Saccharomyces cerevisiae S288C: one gene and its partners. Changing the gene in region 1 together with any one later gene gives a genetic interaction. Each region holds a gene or a part of one and is shown in the gene's direction. Other genes may lie near its edges.

Evidence for each region.
Region 2: mutations in SPO7 (region 1) and SDD4 together harm fitness more than expected from each alone (negative genetic interaction), as found in Saccharomyces cerevisiae (one large-scale study listed by BioGRID).
Region 3: mutations in SPO7 (region 1) and ERP5 together harm fitness more than expected from each alone (negative genetic interaction), as found in Saccharomyces cerevisiae (one large-scale study listed by BioGRID).
Region 4: mutations in SPO7 (region 1) and RSE1 together harm fitness more than expected from each alone (negative genetic interaction), as found in Saccharomyces cerevisiae (one large-scale study listed by BioGRID).

What each region holds. Positions count from the first base shown.
Region 1 is NC_001133.9:134,239-137,619, forward strand, and holds SPO7 (Nem1-Spo7 phosphatase regulatory subunit SPO7), read left to right. Parts: upstream 1-1,615; coding exon 1,616-2,395; downstream 2,396-3,381. Other genes in the region: MDM10 (Mdm10p), read right to left, coding at 1-1,427; FUN14 (Fun14p), read left to right, coding at 2,676-3,272. UniProt on the Saccharomyces cerevisiae protein: Regulatory component of the NEM1-SPO7 complex which acts as a phosphatase and dephosphorylates the phosphatidic acid phosphohydrolase PAH1. Essential for the formation of a spherical nucleus and meiotic division.
Region 2 is NC_001148.4:602,925-609,278, reverse strand, and holds SDD4 (Sdd4p), read left to right. Parts: upstream 1-1,966; coding exon 1,967-5,368; downstream 5,369-6,354. Other genes in the region: EAF3 (Eaf3p), read left to right, coding at 1-453; AGC1 (citrin), read left to right, coding at 5,922-6,354.
Region 3 is NC_001140.6:330,253-333,420, forward strand, and holds ERP5 (Erp5p), read left to right. Parts: upstream 1-2,029; coding exon 2,030-2,668; downstream 2,669-3,168. Other genes in the region: CTM1 (cytochrome c lysine N-methyltransferase), read left to right, coding at 58-1,815; UBA4 (Uba4p), read left to right, coding at 2,820-3,168. UniProt on the Saccharomyces cerevisiae protein: Involved in vesicular protein trafficking.
Region 4 is NC_001145.3:173,572-180,556, reverse strand, and holds RSE1 (U2 snRNP complex subunit RSE1), read left to right. Parts: upstream 1-2,251; coding exon 2,252-6,337; downstream 6,338-6,985. Other genes in the region: pheromone-regulated K(+) transporter PRM6, read left to right, coding at 1-540; GSF2 (Gsf2p), read right to left, coding at 920-2,131; AIM32 (Aim32p), read right to left, coding at 6,483-6,985. UniProt on the Saccharomyces cerevisiae protein: Involved in G2/M transition. Required for pre-mRNA splicing and endoplasmic reticulum (ER) to Golgi secretion pathway. U2 snRNPs associated protein required for the pre-spliceosome assembly.

The sequences.
Region 1 (3,381 bases):
CCGTTTTCTGTATCAGTTGCTGATATAGATATTGCATTATCATTCTTTTCATCATCGGATAAACTTTCTTGAAAGCCTCTAGTGAATACCAGCTCTGTCCCGGCAGATATTAAAAATCCCCTCCATTTGCCTTCCCATAATAGTTTTAAAGTCTTGTCACGTAATGACGTGCTTAATTTCCAAACACTGGTAAAAATGGAACTATTTATTTTGTTATCAAATTTTTCGATGGTAGATCTTTCTTCATCGATTTTTCTTAATGACGACGAGAATGCATAAGTTAAATCATTTAATAGCTTTTGTTTGTGAACAGGTATATCTAGTGTAGAAGGAATATCGTTAACAGCTGAATTCAGATCCGGTACATTTTCGTGCAGTAGTTTAGTCGCTCTGCTGTTTGGATTTATATCAACCAATTCGTCGGAGATTGGTTCTAATTTATCATTATTGTTTTTATTGGTTTCAAGCAAATGATGCTTTTTTTGCCAAAATTCGCACCCAAATGAAAGATTTGATTCAATCGAATAAAGATTAAAATCATACTTCGCGCAAAAAGTAGAATTTGTCCCTGTCTTGGCCGAATATGTGGAGGATATATGGCCGAATAATGGATTCCAAGATAATGTCAAAGTTAGTGGTCGTCCTGTGTTTGTAGAATGTGTGTAATATCTTAAAGTTGTCGAACAACCGGGGCTTAAACTTACTAACCCTAACCAAAATTCAGCACCAAGCGACAACGAAGAATTATTGTACAGTGAGGTGTTAAACTTGGAAGGCGTGGTAAGGAAATTGTGTAATACTCTATAACCACATAATAGATCACTGGTGGAAAATATCCACTCCTGTAAATTGCGGTGAGAATCTCTTTGAAAATAGCACGTTAAAACGTTTAAGCTTTCTTTGAAACTACTGACACCCTTAAGCATAAATTGGGTTTGTGGACTTAGTCGTTTTATTATCATTGCTTCTAAATCAGAGCTGGGGTAGTACATTCTACCATAATAAAGGGATTTTTTAACAAATTTCGAGTCATGTAGTAATTTCTTGTCATTGTCGACTGTGGTGTTGTCACTACTCAACGTATTCGCACTACTAACACTGAAATTGAGGTTTGGTTGCAATTGTCTGTATGTTTCGGTGGCATCTTGTAATGGGATATCAGTAGAGTTGCGCATGAATTTCTCCAATTGCTGTGCATCGGAGTATAAATAACTCAGAGAACCATTTATCCTGGACCTCGTAGAAAAATCTAAAGAATTGAATGTATTGGGAGTAGATTTGTTGGAAATTTGCAGGTGTATTGCTGAGGGAATTCGGAAATCTAATAATGTTCTCGATGTGGCCGTTATATCCTCGTAGCTATTTTGCGTACTCCAATGGGTGCTCTGATAAAATGCCCTTAGTACTTGGTCCATATAGGGTAGCATCAAGATCGGTCTTCTCTGTTCGTGTCTTTTTCCTAACGTATATTTGCTTTGTTTCTTCACTCAACAATAAAGTCAAAGTAAAATTAAATACTAATTATTCTTAAAAGGGAAGATGCGAAATTTAGCGAAAATCTATTGATTATACACACAAAGGAAGAAAGGTAGTGGAAAGCTAAATAAAGGAGGTCATGGAGCCAGAGAGCATAGGCGATGTGGGGAACCATGCCCAGGATGATAGTGCCAGTATAGTGTCCGGGCCTCGCAGGCGTTCTACTAGCAAGACATCCAGTGCGAAGAATATACGGAACTCCAGTAATATCTCTCCAGCATCGATGATTTTCAGGAATTTGTTGATACTGGAGGATGATTTAAGACGCCAAGCTCACGAACAAAAGATACTGAAGTGGCAATTCACTTTGTTCTTAGCGTCTATGGCCGGTGTAGGCGCATTTACCTTCTACGAACTTTATTTCACTTCAGATTATGTCAAGGGCCTCCATAGGGTTATTTTGCAATTCACTCTTTCTTTCATTTCCATTACTGTAGTTCTTTTTCATATCAGTGGACAATATAGAAGAACTATCGTCATTCCAAGAAGATTTTTTACCTCTACTAATAAAGGGATTAGGCAGTTTAATGTGAAGCTAGTTAAAGTACAGTCTACGTGGGACGAGAAATACACAGATTCAGTAAGATTTGTGAGTCGAACAATTGCTTATTGTAATATTTATTGTTTGAAAAAATTTCTGTGGCTTAAAGACGATAATGCCATTGTGAAATTTTGGAAAAGTGTCACGATACAATCCCAACCGAGGATCGGAGCTGTGGATGTGAAATTAGTCCTCAACCCCAGAGCATTTAGTGCAGAGATTAGAGAAGGATGGGAGATTTATAGAGACGAGTTTTGGGCCAGGGAAGGTGCTAGAAGACGCAAACAAGCGCACGAACTCCGACCTAAATCAGAATGAAAGAGTTGGAGGGCTTCTTCCTTCGAATAAGAGGTCATATTTACCTATGTAAAATTGTAACCATCTATGTTCACACATAAATTATATTTTATACATTATTAGAAGTGAAGCTGTTGTGTCGTGAAAATTTTACAAATCCGTCATTTCATATTTAAGTTTTCCAACAAGTGCTAGAAAACCTAGGGGTTGTTGAAATTGGTTAAACAAGGCATCTTATTATACATACAACAGCATAACGCTAGAGGGGCAAGAAGGAAGAACTTAAAATAATAGGTGTAAAATGACTTTGGCTTTTAATATGCAACGGTTGGTGTTTCGTAATTTGAATGTTGGGAAGCGCATGTTCAAGAACGTCCCCTTATGGAGGTTTAATGTCGCCAATAAATTAGGAAAGCCCTTAACTCGCTCTGTAGGGTTAGGCGGTGCTGGCATAGTTGCTGGTGGCTTTTACTTGATGAATCGCCAGCCTTCTAAGTTGATATTCAATGATTCTTTAGGGGCAGCTGTCAAACAACAGGGTCCCTTGGAACCAACTGTGGGCAACAGTACGGCAATTACCGAGGAAAGGAGGAACAAAATAAGTAGTCACAAGCAGATGTTTTTGGGATCATTATTCGGTGTTGTTTTAGGAGTTACGGTGGCTAAGATATCAATTTTGTTTATGTATGTCGGTATTACAAGCATGCTTCTTTGTGAATGGTTACGGTACAAGGGATGGATTCGCATTAATTTGAAAAATATCAAATCTGTAATTGTTTTGAAAGATGTAGACTTGAAGAAACTGCTTATTGATGGGTTATTGGGTACAGAATACATGGGTTTTAAAGTATTCTTTACATTGAGTTTCGTATTAGCAAGTTTAAATGCTAACAAATGAGCAAGACAAATGACCAGATATAAACGAGGGTTATATTCTTTCGTTTTATACTTTTTTATTTTTGGTATTTCATTTATCCTATACAGTAAATATACATAGGGCTAAGGAA
Region 2 (6,354 bases), on another chromosome or scaffold:
GTGACGGTAGAGATGGTACTGAATAAATACGAACATGAAGTGAGTCAAGAATTGGAATCGCCAGGGTCCCAGTCACAGTTGAGCGAATACTGTGCCGGTCTCAAGTTGTATTTTGACAAGTGCCTGGGTAATATGCTTTTATATAGGTTGGAACGGCTGCAATATGACGAACTTCTGAAAAAATCATCGAAGGATCAAAAGCCACTAGTACCAATTAGAATTTATGGGGCTATCCATCTGTTAAGGTTGATAAGTGTTTTACCAGAGCTGATCTCGTCTACTACAATGGATCTACAAAGCTGTCAGCTTTTAATCAAACAAACCGAAGACTTCTTGGTTTGGTTGTTGATGCATGTGGACGAATACTTCAATGACAAGGATCCAAATAGAAGTGACGATGCTCTGTATGTAAATACGTCTAGCCAATACGAAGGAGTGGCTTTAGGTATGTGAGACGTTTATATTCTAGCTTGGGATTATTTCTAGTATTTAGTTCTTCCGTATTTATGCAATAACTCTTCACAGAATATCTCGTGTAAGAATATGGACACTGTTCGTGGCACTTTACGAAATTCAAGTTTATTCTCTTTGCAAGGTTCTTAGGGTAATGGCAGCTCTGAAAGGGGCTTGTCGAGTTAAAACATCATTAATGATTATATTTTATTTTTGTTATTTTTCTGACGTATCCATCGTTTCGCATCTAGTATGAGCTTACTAAGAGCTTCGTATATAATGTACTATCATCTTCACTTACTCGTTTGCACACTACCAAGTTCTGTCCAGGGCTCCTTGTTTTATATTTTTAGTGTAATTGCATGGTCTATGCAACATGATTAAAGCAGCATCACACGCGCCATTATATAATCTAAAATAGTCCGTTGTCGTGCGCATTCTTCTGTGGCGCGTCTTATATGAGAAAAGGGTCTTTCGAAGTCATTAACCCTCTGACGCAGCAAAAAACAACTTTATGCAGGGTTTACTTCATACAGAAAGACACTTGCTTGTTGTCAATGGCTAAAAAGGACCTCAGGCAAAAGCGTAGGATAATTACAAGTTGTTCGAAAAGGAGTTGTTTATATTTATTCATCGCTCAATGCAGAAGCATAACAATTGTAATAACACTCATTATAGATAGAGCTTGCATTAAATACACGTCTATCCTTTCAACCCAAGGCATTTGAAGGAAAGGAATGAAAAAGAGGAAACGTTTGATATTCGTCAGGCTATTACTTGACTATGAAACATGTACAGGTTGGTCTACTGCTGTAAAAAAAAAAAAAAGTCCTTAACTCGCTTATTTAAGGGAACCATTATTTTCGGGGATTGTAAATTTACTGACTATGCAATGAGTTTAACAGGCTGATCAATTATGCCCTAGCAAAAAAAACTGAAATGATGCACCTCGAACTCTAGTGCATTAGCTTGAAGCTTTATTCTCCTGCTAAAAAAAAAAAAAAAGTACTAATTTGCTTGGAAGCGAGCACCCTATTGCTTTTAAAATTCTCCATATGGGCTTCCCCACCTACCTCTTAAAAGTTATGTCATCGGTCTTGAATTGTTTCCAAAGACCTTCCGCTTTATCAATTCTTTCCTCGTATATCAGTGTCCTCTAACAAGACTACCGTGCTTTTTCGTGGATTTCATGTAGGAGCCAATCGTTTTTAAGAAAAATTACTGTCAAGGTAGTTTGAGAAGAAATTGCGAGATATCACATGTGCGCTTTCCTTCTCCACTGATCGAATTACAGTAAGACTTTTAAAGATTCTAAGTAATTAGAATAGTTAACTGTTTTTTTTGTTTTTTTTTTTTTTCGTTCTGCTTTATTTTTTTATTTTTTTTGTGAGTTGCGAACAGCTTCTTTAATAGTTTTAAAGGCTGTATTGAGATTCTAGGACTCATCTACTATGTTTATAATTATAAAAAGTGACCAATAAAGCAGTGAAGCTAGCTCTTAATATTGGCAAAAATGCACGGCAAAGAGTTGGCTGGCAGGCTCCGGAAAAGGGAAAATGATAACGATTTATCACCAAATTCAAGCTCTTCTCCTGCTGAAAGATTTAGGTGTCCACATCCCGAATGTAATAAAACTTTCTCACGTCAGGAACATTTATCAAGACACAAGCTAAACCACTGGCCGAAAGAGATATATGTTTGTTCTTACGTGCTTCCTACTACAAATGCGCCTTGCAATAAAACGTTTGTAAGGAAAGATTTACTGATCAGACATGAAAAGAGGCATTCAAAGGTGAAAAACAGATTAAGTCGGCCAAGCAAGGACCAGATTTCCTCATCAAATAAGGACTTCTCCAAAAATGCACCATATAATCCCAGTGAAGTACCCCTTTCTACGCAAAGTGGAACTTCTACGATTAACTTAATAAAAAATTCTGTGAATCCACCACCATCTATCACACAAGAATCAAAATTTCGTCCTTTTCTTCAACAGGCTCAACAACCTCAACAGGTTCAGCAATCACAACAACCACAACAAATTCAACAACTGCAGCAACTTCAATTCCCGCAGCAACTGCGGGCACCATTGCAACAACCTATGTTGCAGCAACAAATGCATCCACAGCAAGCAAGTCCTACTTTTCCATCGTATGATCCTCGAATAAGGAACAACGGTCAAAATGGTAATCAATTTTTTAATTTGATATTTGATAACCGTACAGGCGTTAATGGTTTTGAAGTGGATGCAGCGAATAACAACGGTAATGGCAATGACCAAAATATGAATATCAATCCAGCCGTGCAGCAGCAACGATATCAAGACAGAAATTTTGCAAGTAGTTCATATCAGCAGCCACTCCAGCCACTTACCCAGGATCAACAACAGGAACAGTACTTTCAGCAGCAAAAGCTTGCCCAACAGCAACAGCAACAGCAACAGCAACAACAACAACAACAACAATTACCACCCCAGAATCCATTTGGAGATCCATTAACATCTTCCTCTAGCGGTGCTAATTTGTCAGTTATGCAGGACCTTTTTTCTACAAATTTTTTGAACAGCGACCCATTACAATCTTTCATGCAAGAACTTTCTGAAGCCCCGCAAGTAAGTATTGAAGATACATTTTCTGACAAGAATACAATCCCACCTAATGAAAAACCTGTTCAACAAGACGAAGGGTTCCAGAATCCTCCAGTTATGTTTGAGTTACCACAAGATAACATTAAAATTCCCAAAGCACAACCGAAGTTCAACGATAACCCCAGTACTTCAGTGAAGGACAATCTTTCCAGTCAGAAGCTTAATATCAACGAGCTAAAACGGAGATCATCTAAAGATTCAGGAGTAGGAAACAATTCCTCTCTGAACTACAAGGAACAGTTGCGTCACTCTATGAAAAGTGTCCCGTCATTTTTCCATCCGGATCCCTTAACAAAGTATAAGATATCAAAAGAAAAATGTCAAGAAATGTTTTCATTTGTTCCAGAATTACGCTATGTCTCTATTGAATCTATACACAAATCGTTAAAATCCTTCTGGTTGAACTTCCATCCACAATACGGTCTGCTTCACAAACCCTCTTTTCACGTTGATAAACAGCCTGCAATTTTGAATTTGGCACTAATTATGACTGGCGCAAGTTTTTTGGGAAGCGAGTATCGTGAACAGATTAGTGACCCAATTTGTGGTCCTCTAAGATGGATAATTTTTTCTCATGCTGATTTTCAACCACCTTCTAAAACCTACATCATTCAAAGTTTATTATTAGTCGAAGGATATGAAAAAACAAGTACGAACAGGTATTTACATGAAAGGTCTTTTTTACATCACGGAACGACCATTCAATTGCTAAGGCGAACGCCCTCTTTAGGCGGCCATCCCTTAATGGTCAAAACCGGCAAAACCTCTGGGGAAAATTCAATTCAAGACCCACAAGAAGTTTATAAAAGATGGATTGATTTTGAAATGTTGAAAAGAATAGCTTTCTACGCATTTTATATGGACACTACACATGCTGTAGTGTTTGGATACTGGAATTTATTTATTAATAGCAATCAGATTCAACTAACTTTACCCTGTCCAGATCAAGTGTGGGAATCTTATGATTTGAGCTATGAAACTCTGATGGAGCATGGGTATGGCAGCACAAAGAGAGATGAGAATAATACATTTTTGTCTGCGTTAATGCAATTAATGAAAAATGTCATTCAAATCTTACGAAATAATAATATACGGAGAAACAAAGTCAACAATGGTGGAATAGAGAGTACCCCTACAGACTTGGAAAGCACTACAGATTGGAATATTCAGAGTCTTTTTGGTAAAAAGATTCTTTTGGCGGGGATAATTTCGATCTTATTTCAATGTCAAGAGGAAGTTAATGGTGACTATTTCATTACTAACTTTAGGGGCGGAATCACTGATCATTTAGGCCTTTCATGGAAAGATATTTTATCATTTGCAATGAACTATTGGCTTCACGAAGTTCAGAAAAGCTGCACTGATCCGAAAGCATGTAGGATAAGTACTCCATCTGAGGAGACACTAACGAACAGAAAAATTGACGAGGATAATGGAGATGGACTATGTGATGATGATTTGGACTTGCTTTCCTCCGATAATCCGTCAAATTGTAAAATTCCCGTTATTCATATCTCTCAAATTGTCCTACGTATTCTTCATCATGATTATTACATATATGCAGGAGCACCTTGGAGAATGAATGTACCAATTGGTCGCGATGAATATGACATGATCAGTCGCAGGATTCTCCAGTTCGCTAAGGACCCCTACAATGGGGGTGTAGCTGTAGTCTATGCCTTCCAGTTCTTATTTGAAATGTTTATCATTAAGGAAAATAACGTTCCAACCGTAGTGAAGAGCTACAATATAAATTCTGATCCTGTGATTACTAGACCCTATGCGATTGCATTAACTTCACTCCTAATTTGGTCTTGTAATTTTGCATTACATGGCTGTGAAGTTAGCATATGGGATAATACAGAAGCCTCAAAGGATGAATGCTTTCAACCAGATGACAGCAATGGTGGAAACATTCTAGGCAATACTGATAATAATGGATCGACGATTGCAAACAACAATTTAAAGGAAAAGAACAATTACATTCCAATAGAAAGTTTTGAAGTTTACCTATTGAGAATGTATCGGAACTTATATGTGGATAGCTCACTCGATGTAGTTAGCTTTCAGAATGACGTTTGGGCAAAAGCGAGTTTACTTCAACATATTTCTAATACCCACTTTCTATGCGGGATGATGCAGTTTATGAGAGATATTTTCAACAAGAGCTACTGGGATTTAGGGCGCGAATTCGGAAAACTCTTCGATAATTGTTTGGAAAGGAGCCTAGGGAAAACGTCACCCACTTGTCATAACATGTTTGATGTTTAGTTTATATTCGTATATTGGTAAATCATCATATTTATTGTTAGATTAATGAAATGGTTATGAAAACATTTGTAAACTGCCAGCTGTGAAATTGTTAAATAAAATCGACACTGTATATAATTGCGCTTCATATTTTACATGTAAGTATGATCTATGTTTTACGTAGGAGAAAGAGCTTTCTTTATTGGTCATCCCACTGCAAGCGGTTATGAAAAATTTCTGCAGCATCGCTTTAGGGGAGTACTGCCGGCATGTTGGAAAAACATCTCGAAACATATATTGAATCTCAGAATTAACCAGTATTCGAAGCAAAGAAAAAAATATTTCGAAGATAGATAAATACCTCAAGACGAACCTGTCTTTTATATGTTAAGATTTGATATCTAATCTCACCAGACTTTCAAGTTTTATCTCACAACCTCGCGTTTGCCATAATTTTCGAAGTAGCCTGATCCCTTCTTTGTGAACATATTTCACTGGAAAAGTACATAACTTTCATAGCGTAGTTTGAAAGTATGCAGCTTTGCTACCGACCTTAAAGAATTATTATACTATTATGGAGCAAATCAATTCGAACAGTAGAAAAAAGAAGCAACAATTGGAAGTATTCAAATATTTTGCAAGTGTCCTTACAAAAGAGGACAAGCCTATTAGTATCAGTAATGGTATGTTAGATATGCCGACAGTGAACTCCAGTAAACTCACAGCAGGAAATGGGAAACCTGACACGGAGAAGCTTACAGGAGAACTAATTTTAACATACGACGATTTCATTGAACTGATATCTAGCTCAAAGACTATTTATTCGAAGTTTACGGACCATTCGTTCAATTTGAACCAGATACCCAAGAACGTTTTCGGGTGTATTTTCTTCGCTATTGATGAACAAAACAAGGGATATCTGACGCTTAATGATTGGTTTTATTTTAATAATTTATTAGAATATGATAATTATCATCTCATTATTCTATATGAGTTCTTTAGGAAAT
Region 3 (3,168 bases), on another chromosome or scaffold:
TAATTCGCCATCCTCATAACCACTGAAAAATCGAAGTTAACCAAAAGGAAAGTTGAAATGGAGGAAGTGTTCCGTTTTTACTCGAACTCTAGAAATATCTTCATTCATAAAAGCCTTTCATTAAAACCATCCACCATTGATGACCCCAAAAGTGGATATGGCCTTTTCGTAGAACCTTCGAAGTTCAAGAATGATGAATTGAAAAGTGAAACTATCCAATTGCTCCGAATCCCTAAGCGCTGCACGTTTAATATAAACACACTTCTGGCTCTCTTGGGAGATGAGGACGAATTTTCTTCAAAGGAAGAATTTCAAAGAACTAATGACAAAATTAAGATTGCTCTTCGTGAAATAATGGCTCATCCGAATTTCAGTGTGTTCCTGACAGAAACAAATTTACTCATAATTTATTTCATGATATTTCAAACTATTCGTAGTCGTTATGAGATTCCCGAAAATATCCAATATTATTTAGAAAATGTTTTAATGAGCATTGAAGTAGAAACAGCCATGGATTCTATTGAAAACTTAGCTACTGATTATGGACATTATCCACAGATTTTTGGCCTTCGAGAGACGCTAAATTTATTTAAAGAACTGTTTCACGACGTCTTGAATTTAAGTGATATCAAACATCTTTATTCTGCAATAATTTCACGTTGTTTAGAGATACCAGAAAGGGCCGATACCAAAAGTGAAGAATTCACGGTCCATTCTACTTTAGTCCCTATTGTAGATTTTGCCAACCATGAAGGCACCCAAAAAAATGCTTATTTTGACATCGACCCTTCAAATAATGACGTTTTACTTCTATTGGATACAAAAGCGGTCCAAAGTGAACTCACAAAACCTATTGAAGTTTTCATTAGTTACTCACCAACAGAGGATTTATTTTCCATGCTTGTAACATATGGATTCACCCCAGATTTTAGAGGGAATTCCCAATTTTGGACTGTATCCTTTGACAGGTGCTTTTTAAGAAACTATGATGGACCAGATAAAACTACAAATTTAAGATTGTTTTACAAATGGATGCACATAAATCCAGTGGTACCACTAGTTAAATACGAGCACAACGGAAAGACTCGCTGGTTTCTCAATGACACCACGCCTGAATTTGATATGCTTTTGCTCCCATTCATTCCATCGATAGATGATGGCAAAATTGCTCGGTGGGCGTACGATTCCACATGTCATTTGATGTTCACGAAAATCCATTGTCTGATAAATCCCGAGGCCAACGAACATGCGTTAATGATTGCAGAAAACTACCGCTCTCTCATTAAAGAGAAAGAGTCAAATGGTGACGATTTCATAAATTTACCGCCACTAGCTTGGTCATTGCGTTACAAAGATACAGAAAACGATTGTGTACGGCAAAGACATATATGCAGTGAAGATGCGGTCGCTGTACTTAAACAAGAAGAAATGCAAGACTCAACCAAAACCAAATCCCAGTTTACCAGTTTCTTTCGTAAATTTTTAGAGTTTCGTAGATCCAAAATTATTAGGCCTACCAGTGATTCAAAAGTTGCAAGCATATTATACCAGCAGGAACTGGAAATAATTGCTGACTTAGCAAAAGCTATCGATAGCAGCTCTACCATTTTTTTCAGCGATCTGAATGTTACATTGGACACCGAACCAGAACGGCTCCCCCCTCTAAGGTTTTTAGATGATTACATAGAGATCTCTGCGGATAAGCAGGAGCCAAGCCCAATTTGTGAGGATCTTTCTTATTATACACCCAGCAGGTTTACTGATTTTTTTCAAGAAGAGGTAAGCCAATATGCGGCTTTCTTTCAGGATGACTAGATGAGTACCACTTACGATCTTGTATATAAATGTTTTTAGTTGTCCTTTCTTCTACATTAAAAGCATCACAAAGAACAATCTGACGCGTTTTTCCACTGTCTCTTTCTCGCGTTTTATTCTTTTCCGTTTGAGACAAAAAAAGAGGAGCTTTGTAGTGTAATACTACTAGTTACTTAAGGGAACACATCAAGCATTCGGTGTCTCACAGGCTACTATGAAATATAATATAGTGCATGGAATTTGCCTATTATTTGCTATTACCCAAGCTGTAGGGGCTGTCCATTTTTATGCGAAGTCCGGGGAAACCAAATGCTTCTATGAACACTTATCCCGGGGAAACCTACTGATTGGGGATTTAGACCTATATGTAGAAAAGGATGGTCTGTTTGAAGAGGACCCTGAATCCAGTCTGACAATAACTGTCGATGAAACATTCGATAACGACCATCGTGTCCTAAATCAAAAAAACTCACACACAGGTGATGTTACTTTTACAGCTTTAGACACAGGTGAACATAGATTTTGCTTCACTCCATTCTACAGCAAGAAATCAGCCACACTAAGAGTATTCATCGAACTAGAAATTGGCAATGTTGAAGCGCTTGACAGCAAGAAAAAAGAAGATATGAATTCACTTAAGGGGAGGGTAGGCCAGTTGACTCAAAGGCTATCTTCTATTCGTAAGGAGCAAGACGCTATCAGAGAAAAAGAGGCAGAATTCAGAAATCAAAGTGAATCAGCTAACAGCAAGATAATGACGTGGTCTGTGTTCCAACTTCTCATATTGCTGGGCACCTGTGCCTTCCAGCTACGCTATCTCAAGAATTTCTTTGTCAAACAGAAGGTAGTATAATATACCATGTTTGTTATATAGAGTTTATATATCGCTCATTACGAATCGGTGCAATGAGCTCTTCGATATGAAATATTCCTTAGCTTAGTAATAAGAGTGACTTAAGCTGATGCCGTTGACTGCAAAAGGAAGTAAATAGAAGTCAATAACAATGAATGACTACCATCTCGAGGATACCACGTCTGAACTTGAAGCATTAAGATTGGAGAATGCACAATTAAGAGAGCAGCTTGCCAAGAGAGAAGACAGCAGCCGCGACTACCCATTATCTTTGGAAGAATACCAACGTTACGGAAGACAAATGATTGTTGAAGAAACAGGTGGTGTAGCAGGTCAAGTCAAGTTGAAAAATACAAAAGTTTTGGTAGTTGGTGCTGGAGGTTTGGGATGTCCCGCCTTGCCCTACTTAGCGGGCGCTGGCGTGGGCCAAATAGGCATAGTAGATAACGATGTGGTGGAGACTTCCAATTTGCATAGGCAGGTTCTTCATGATTCTAGCA
Region 4 (6,985 bases), on another chromosome or scaffold:
TCAGTTTTACTGACAGTTTCGAATGAGACCAGTAGCGGAACCCATAGTACTCAAAGCCTAGGTAATTTAGATGACCTAAATGGAATAATAAACAAGATAAAACATATTGCTAAGACAAATTACGAAGAAAGTGTGATCTTGTCCTTCATGTTGTTCTCGTTTATCATATGGGTAATTTTAATAAGCAAATTAATTCTAAGCATAATAATATTCATCATTTTTATACGTCCGAGATTTTTGTCTAGTAAAAGGAAGGTTAAGGGGTATGAATTGAAACTACGAAAGTATGTGTCTAAAGTCATTGACGAGAATTTAAGTAGAACTGTCTACGAATTGGGAATATTGATAGATGATGAGGAAGAAGGGACCATATGTGGTGACAACAAAACGCAAAAAAAATTCGATTATGATAGTCCTGATTATGGCGACGAAAGCACAATACCGAGTTACTACTGCTACTCGGATGTAGAAACGTACGAAAGAGTATATACGCCCATAAAGGCATATTTCCCCCAGAAATACAAACATAAATACATATAAATGTAAACGAAGCTTTTTTTGACTGCAAAAATGCATTAAAAGTAAATCGATTCTCATTTATTGTATATATATTGTATATATTGTATGAAATATTTATAATGATAATGATAGTAACAAAAACCATTGATGGCTATAAACAATGAAACAAAAAAAAGCACTACGAAAACAGTAGATTCGTGAGGAATTGAAAAAAAGAGTGAAAAAACTAATAAAAACAACGAGAGTAAATAGGATAGTACAAAAATACTAGGAGTAAAAAAAGGCCCTCTAGTAGTAGTAATAGTAATAGTAATAGTAGTAGTACTAGTAGTAGTAGTAGTAGTTAAAGGCTATGGTTGAATAAAAAAAAAGTCTGGATGGTAGTGTTTTGGTTTTACAATTAATTAGATTTTTTCAAATCATTCTTTTTTATACCAAAAGTAGCATCATTGTTTGATGCTTTCTCTTTCTCATCAGCAATTTCTCTTCTGAGCTTAACTAGCGAGGCCAGTTTTTCATCTGGTTCATAAATACCAAACCTTCTAAACCTCCTAATTTCAGCATTCATCTTACCAATATCCCCGTCATACTCTTCCAAGATCTTCTTTAGATTGTTTTCCAGCTCCACAAAGTATTCTTCACTTAAAATGAATTTCCGTTCGGTTTTAATAGCCGTGAAAGTGGAAGCAGTGAACCTATCTTCTAGAGGACTTTGGAAACCCTCTCCAGCCACAAGTTGGATACCTGGTGCTGCAGCTTTCCTAATCGCGCCCGCTCTATAAGCAGCAACTGCACCACCCATCTTATCTATGACATAGTTGTAATAGTTAGTCTGGTAATCGTCGTAAGTAGCTCTCTTAGCACCAATCCAGCCCAGAGAGCGCAAACGTGTCTTTAAGTCAGTAGTGTTGTTATTGCCGCCAGAATTCTTAGCGCCGTTAGCAGAAGGAGAAGTTAAATCTCTCAAACTCCATAACTTGTAAGGATTGAAGCTGATGGGGTTGGCAATGCCTAATTTGAGGAATAAAGTAATTATGCCCACTTTGAAAATGTGCATGACAAAGAAAAGCCATTGAGCTACGAGACTAGAATAGTTTGCCTGAACTTCTTGTTCGAGTTTAGCGGCAATTTCAGGTAAATCCATGTGCTTGGCTACAGGAATCAATAGTCTAGACAATTGATTAGTCAAACAAATACCTGGGGTTGGAGAAATGGCGTCGGGCAAATCGGTATATAGCCAGGCCAACATAATAATGGTGTATACCCATATGTTTTTCTTGGATAGCTTCCACTCCGGAACAACTAGCTGACCAGGCCACAACTGGTCAATAAGCGGCTTGGAGTCATTCAACTCCTCGAGATTTTCTTCGTTATCAGCTTCATAATGGAACATCAAACAACCACCTTCGGACAGGTACCCTGGATGGATAGACTTATAGAACTTTACGGGCTCCTTCTCATGGAAAATTGATGGTCTCAGCACCATTAAGTCCGCCAAACCCGTCTTGGAAGGGAAAATCTTCTTAATTTTGTTATTTATGGTGTCTTCATTTGACACCTGAAACGCATAGTCGTGCTCGACATCTGCGTTAAGTCTAATGTAAATCTCCATGCTTGCAATCGCCCTCTATCAAAACAAAGTCCACCGATCTCTGCTGCCCCTCTCTAAAAAGGAAAACAATGGCACCATTAGCTTCTTTTCTCGCTTTTTTATAATATTTTCCATCATTAAATGTGGGGAGGTGGCAAAATGGCAGTAGTAAGCTTGTCGCCCCACACGGCGAAGATGCGTAAACTATTTGGGCAAGCTAGCACAACGATGGCTTATGACGGTTTAAAACGAGAGGCTGAAAGAAGAACAAGGAGTGACCATAACATAACAATGGTTGCTAAAGATGATGAGCTATACTTGTACCATCTTACTTTAAAGAAACAGACGAATTTCGTGCACTCCTGCATCGGACACTTCGTCGATCTGGAAGCAGGGTCCAAGCGTGAGCAGTCGCAATTGTGCGTAGCTACTGAGACGCATTTAGAACTTTATGATACTGCAGATGGGGAACTAAAGCTTATTGCCAAGTTTCAAAACCTGTTTGCGACGATAACCTCGATGAAGTCGCTGGATCTGCCGCATTCAGGGTCAAGGGCAAAAGCTTCCAACTGGCCCACTTTTCTAGCGCTAACTTCCGATTCTGGTAACCTAAGTATCGTGCAAATCATTATGCATGCAGGTGCTCTTAGACTTAAGACTTTAGTGAACCAGCCATTGACGAGGACCACCCTTCGAAGAGTCTCTCCCATATCATACATGGAAATTGACCCTAATGGGCGTTGTATCATTCTCTCATCTGTCGAACAAAATAAATTGTGTTTCCTCGTTGATTATGCTCAAAAATTGAGGATTTCGTCTCCATTGGAAATCATCAGACCCCATATGGTAACGCTGGATATGGCAGTTGTTGATGTAAATTTCAATAATCCATGTTTTGTTACCTTAGAAATCGACAATGCCGCTACTCAACTATCAGTACACTTGATATTTTATGTCCTCGAGTTGGGTTTGAATCACATCGTCAAGAAGGCAGATTATTTAGTTAACCCATCTGCCAATTTCGTACTGAGTTTGCCAGATCTATCGCGATATAATATAACAACTTCGCTAAGCGACAACAACTATGATGCTGACTATGATACCCTTTTCAACCCTTTTGTTGTCATAGGCTTCGAAAATCATATTCTGGTAAAGGATATGAACGGATTTTTCAGCCTGAAAGTGGAAATACCCAAAAGATCTATCACAAATAGCCGTCATAAAAATGTAACAATCATATCAGGCATAGTGCAGAAATTGAAAAATGATTTTTTCGTACTTTTACAATCTAACCATGGCGATCTTTTTAAGTTAACTGTAAGTCCAGACACTAATGATAGAAATAGACCTTTAGTTCAATTGTCCTACTTTGATACAATCCAAAATTCACACCAATTACACATTTTCAAAAACGGTTATCTTTTTGCACTATCTGAAATGAATAACAACTTTCTTTTCCAGTTTGAGAAACTTGGTGTAGAGAAAAATGATTTTTCTAATGTTTTAACCTCAAAAGATCCAAATAAGTCGCTAGTTTTCGAACCATCCATAAAGTTGCAGAATTTGAGCATATTATCGCAACAATTGAATTTGAACCCTTCAATAAAATCTCAAATTGTCAGTGATTCGCCACTGTCTATCGCCACTAAACATTTTACAAACAACAAGATAATAACTTTAACAAATGCTGTGAATTACTCTAATTTGATATCTACTAGTTTACCCCCGAACGCAACCAAGTTATGGCTAATACCCGATCCTGCAACAACCGGCGATAACAATACTCTTTTGTTCATAACTTTTCCCAAGAAAACTATGATACTACAAATTGACAACGAGTCCATGGAGGAACTAACACCGGATGAAGCAACGCGTTCAGCTTTCAAGCTCTCTCAGGACACAACAATTCATACATGCCTAATGGGCTCACACTCTATTATCCAAGTATGCACCGCAGAACTAAGACATATCGTACCGACTGGTAAATCTAGGTATTCTAATAAGCTGACTTGGGTGCCACCAGCGGGAATTCGTATTGTATGTGCCACGTCCTCGAAAACACAACTAATTATATCATTATCAAATTACGAATTGGTTTATTTCAAGATAGATGTATCTTCGGATTCGTTAATCGAATTAACCACCCACCCAGAATTGGACACAATGCCCTCTAAAGTTGCGATTGTGCAAGATACGCAGCATGCTGATTTATTAGCCATTGCTGACAATGAGGGTATGATCAAAATAATGTCTCTTAAAGACCAAAAGGAAGATTTTTTAACTGTAATAAGTTTGCAATTAGTTAGTGAAAAGATTTCTGACATGATAATGGTTAGAGATTCCTCAATAGGACAGCTTAATTTGCATGTAGGTTTAGAAAATGGCGTTTACATGAAATTTCATATAGGGGATGTTGACGGATCGTTCACTGACATAAAAAGGCGATTCCTTGGCTTGAAGCCTGTTTCCCTTTCGTATTTGCGTGAGATATCTGTATCACTAAATAATGAGGAAGAAGAAGAAGAAGAAGAAGACGATGATGATGAAAAAGAAGAAGAAGAAATAAATAGTAGTGGAGCTAAATGGATGTCATGCGTGGTTTGCCATTCCTCTTCTACATGGGTAAGCTACACGTGGAAAAATGTGTGGACCATACGGCAGTTAAAGGATCAAAACATGCTAAGTTGTTCCAAATTTGTTAACGCAGATGTTGCAATCAACGGTGTTTGTTCAATATCGAGCTCAGGACGCTTAAATATTGGCAGAGTTTCCAACTTTCCAACTTTGGATAACTGGTTTCACGTTCATGAATCAAGTGTTAACAAGCAAGAGAACGGTGGAGGAGATGAAAGCAATGAAGAGGAAGAAGATGAAATGGAAGAAGAAATGGAAATGTTACAAATATCTACATTCCGACCTCGTACTATTTTATCATTTCCCAATAATCCGAAAAGCATTTTGTTTATTGATAATCACAGTGGTAAGAAACAATGCCGTATATCACTGCAAATTGATGGTGAATGCTTAAAGTTTGGCAGTTCGGATCATTTATACAAGATACTGGACGATATCGATTGCGTTTCCGCTGCTATAATAGATTTCACAAGACAAGCTGATCATTTGATCATTTGTGCTGGCGACAAAAGGCTGTTAACATACAAGATATTAGTTAACAAAGATAAACTATCTTTTGATATTGAATTACTTCACCAAACAGAAATCATTTCACCAATACATGCTATGTTGAAGTTTAAAAACTTCTTGCTGACAGCCATGGGCTCCACTATTGTCCTTTATGGTTTGGGGAAAAAGCAATTATTAAGAAGGTCCGTAACACAGACCCCGGTATCCATAACAAAAATTGTGTCTATGCACCAGTGGAATTATGAAAGACTGGCCGTTGGTGATATACATGAATCTGTCACTTTATTTATCTGGGATCCTGCGGGGAATGTATTTATTCCGTACGTAGATGACTCTGTAAAACGCCATGTGACGGTATTGAAATTTCTAGATGAGGCAACTGTTATAGGCGCTGATAGATATGGAAATGCGTGGACTTTAAGGTCTCCACCAGAGTGCGAAAAAATCATGTCAAATCATGATCCCAGCGAATTATCTAATGGGGCCATCAAGTACCCACTAGACGTCATCACTTTACAGCAGAAATTACCCAATACTTATGATTGCAAGTTCAAGTTTCAACTACTGAACCACTTCTTTGTTAATGATATCATCACTGATTTCCATATCCTGGACAGCCTTTCAAATTCTGATAGACCTGGTTGTATCTATATGGGCTTACAAGGAACCGTGGGATGCTTTATCCCCTTATTATCCAAGGGGAATGTTTTTATGATGGGAAACATTGAGAATATAATGGCTGAGGCGGATGATACGTTTTATTTAGATTATGAATCAAGAAAGAAGAATAACAATATGCGTAAGGAAGACGATGAAGAGGAATCTGGAAGTGTTGTGTTACAAGGACGGCATGGTATAGAGGATGAAATAATATGTGAGGGTTCCTGTTCCATTTTAGGTAGAGACCACCAAGAATACAGAAGCTATTATGCCCCTGTACGTAAAGTTATTGATGGTGATTTATGTGAAAATTTCCTGAGACTTTCCTTGAATGAGCAGGAATTTTTGGCCAAAAATTTAAAGAGTGTACAAGTGGAGGATATAATTCAAACAATCAACGAAGTCAGAACAAATTACATGTAATGATTTTACAGTAATAATACCAAGTATAAAGGCGTGTTAATGTATTTTCTTAATAAATATATGTACAAGGAATATATGATAGCTTTAAATATAAGAAATATAAAATTTCACCTCATCTTTATTTCTGTTTTAAAAGGAAACCGTTTTAATTCATCGATATGCCACCTCTGTACATTTCGTCGATGATTTTACCGTTTTCCAAGTTTTCACATAACAGCTTCAAGTTGTGTGGGTAAACTTTACCAAACCATAATGAATCCAGCTTGTTTTGCATCTTTTCTCTGCCGAATAGTTTATAGAAAATGACATTACCAGCAAAAATATGACCCCCAATATGAGAAATTAAGGCTAGATTATTCTCAGGAAAAAGCTTTTCATCTTGAAATGCTGCAATTATGTCGGGTCCCATTTCTCCACACTTAGCATCTCTCTTATAATGCCCACAGACTAAGTTCCAATCTCTTAGAAAAGTTTCACCCTGAAACCTTGTAAGCTTTCTATGATGCACTTCATGAACCTGTTGGGAAGCCTTGGCCTTACCGCTTAAATAATCCTGGAAGGATAGCTTTGGTGCTTGAATAGCTCCTTCATCTAAAAAAGATGCAAATTCCTCGATGTCCGTTTCCTTAATTACATAAAGCTTCATGT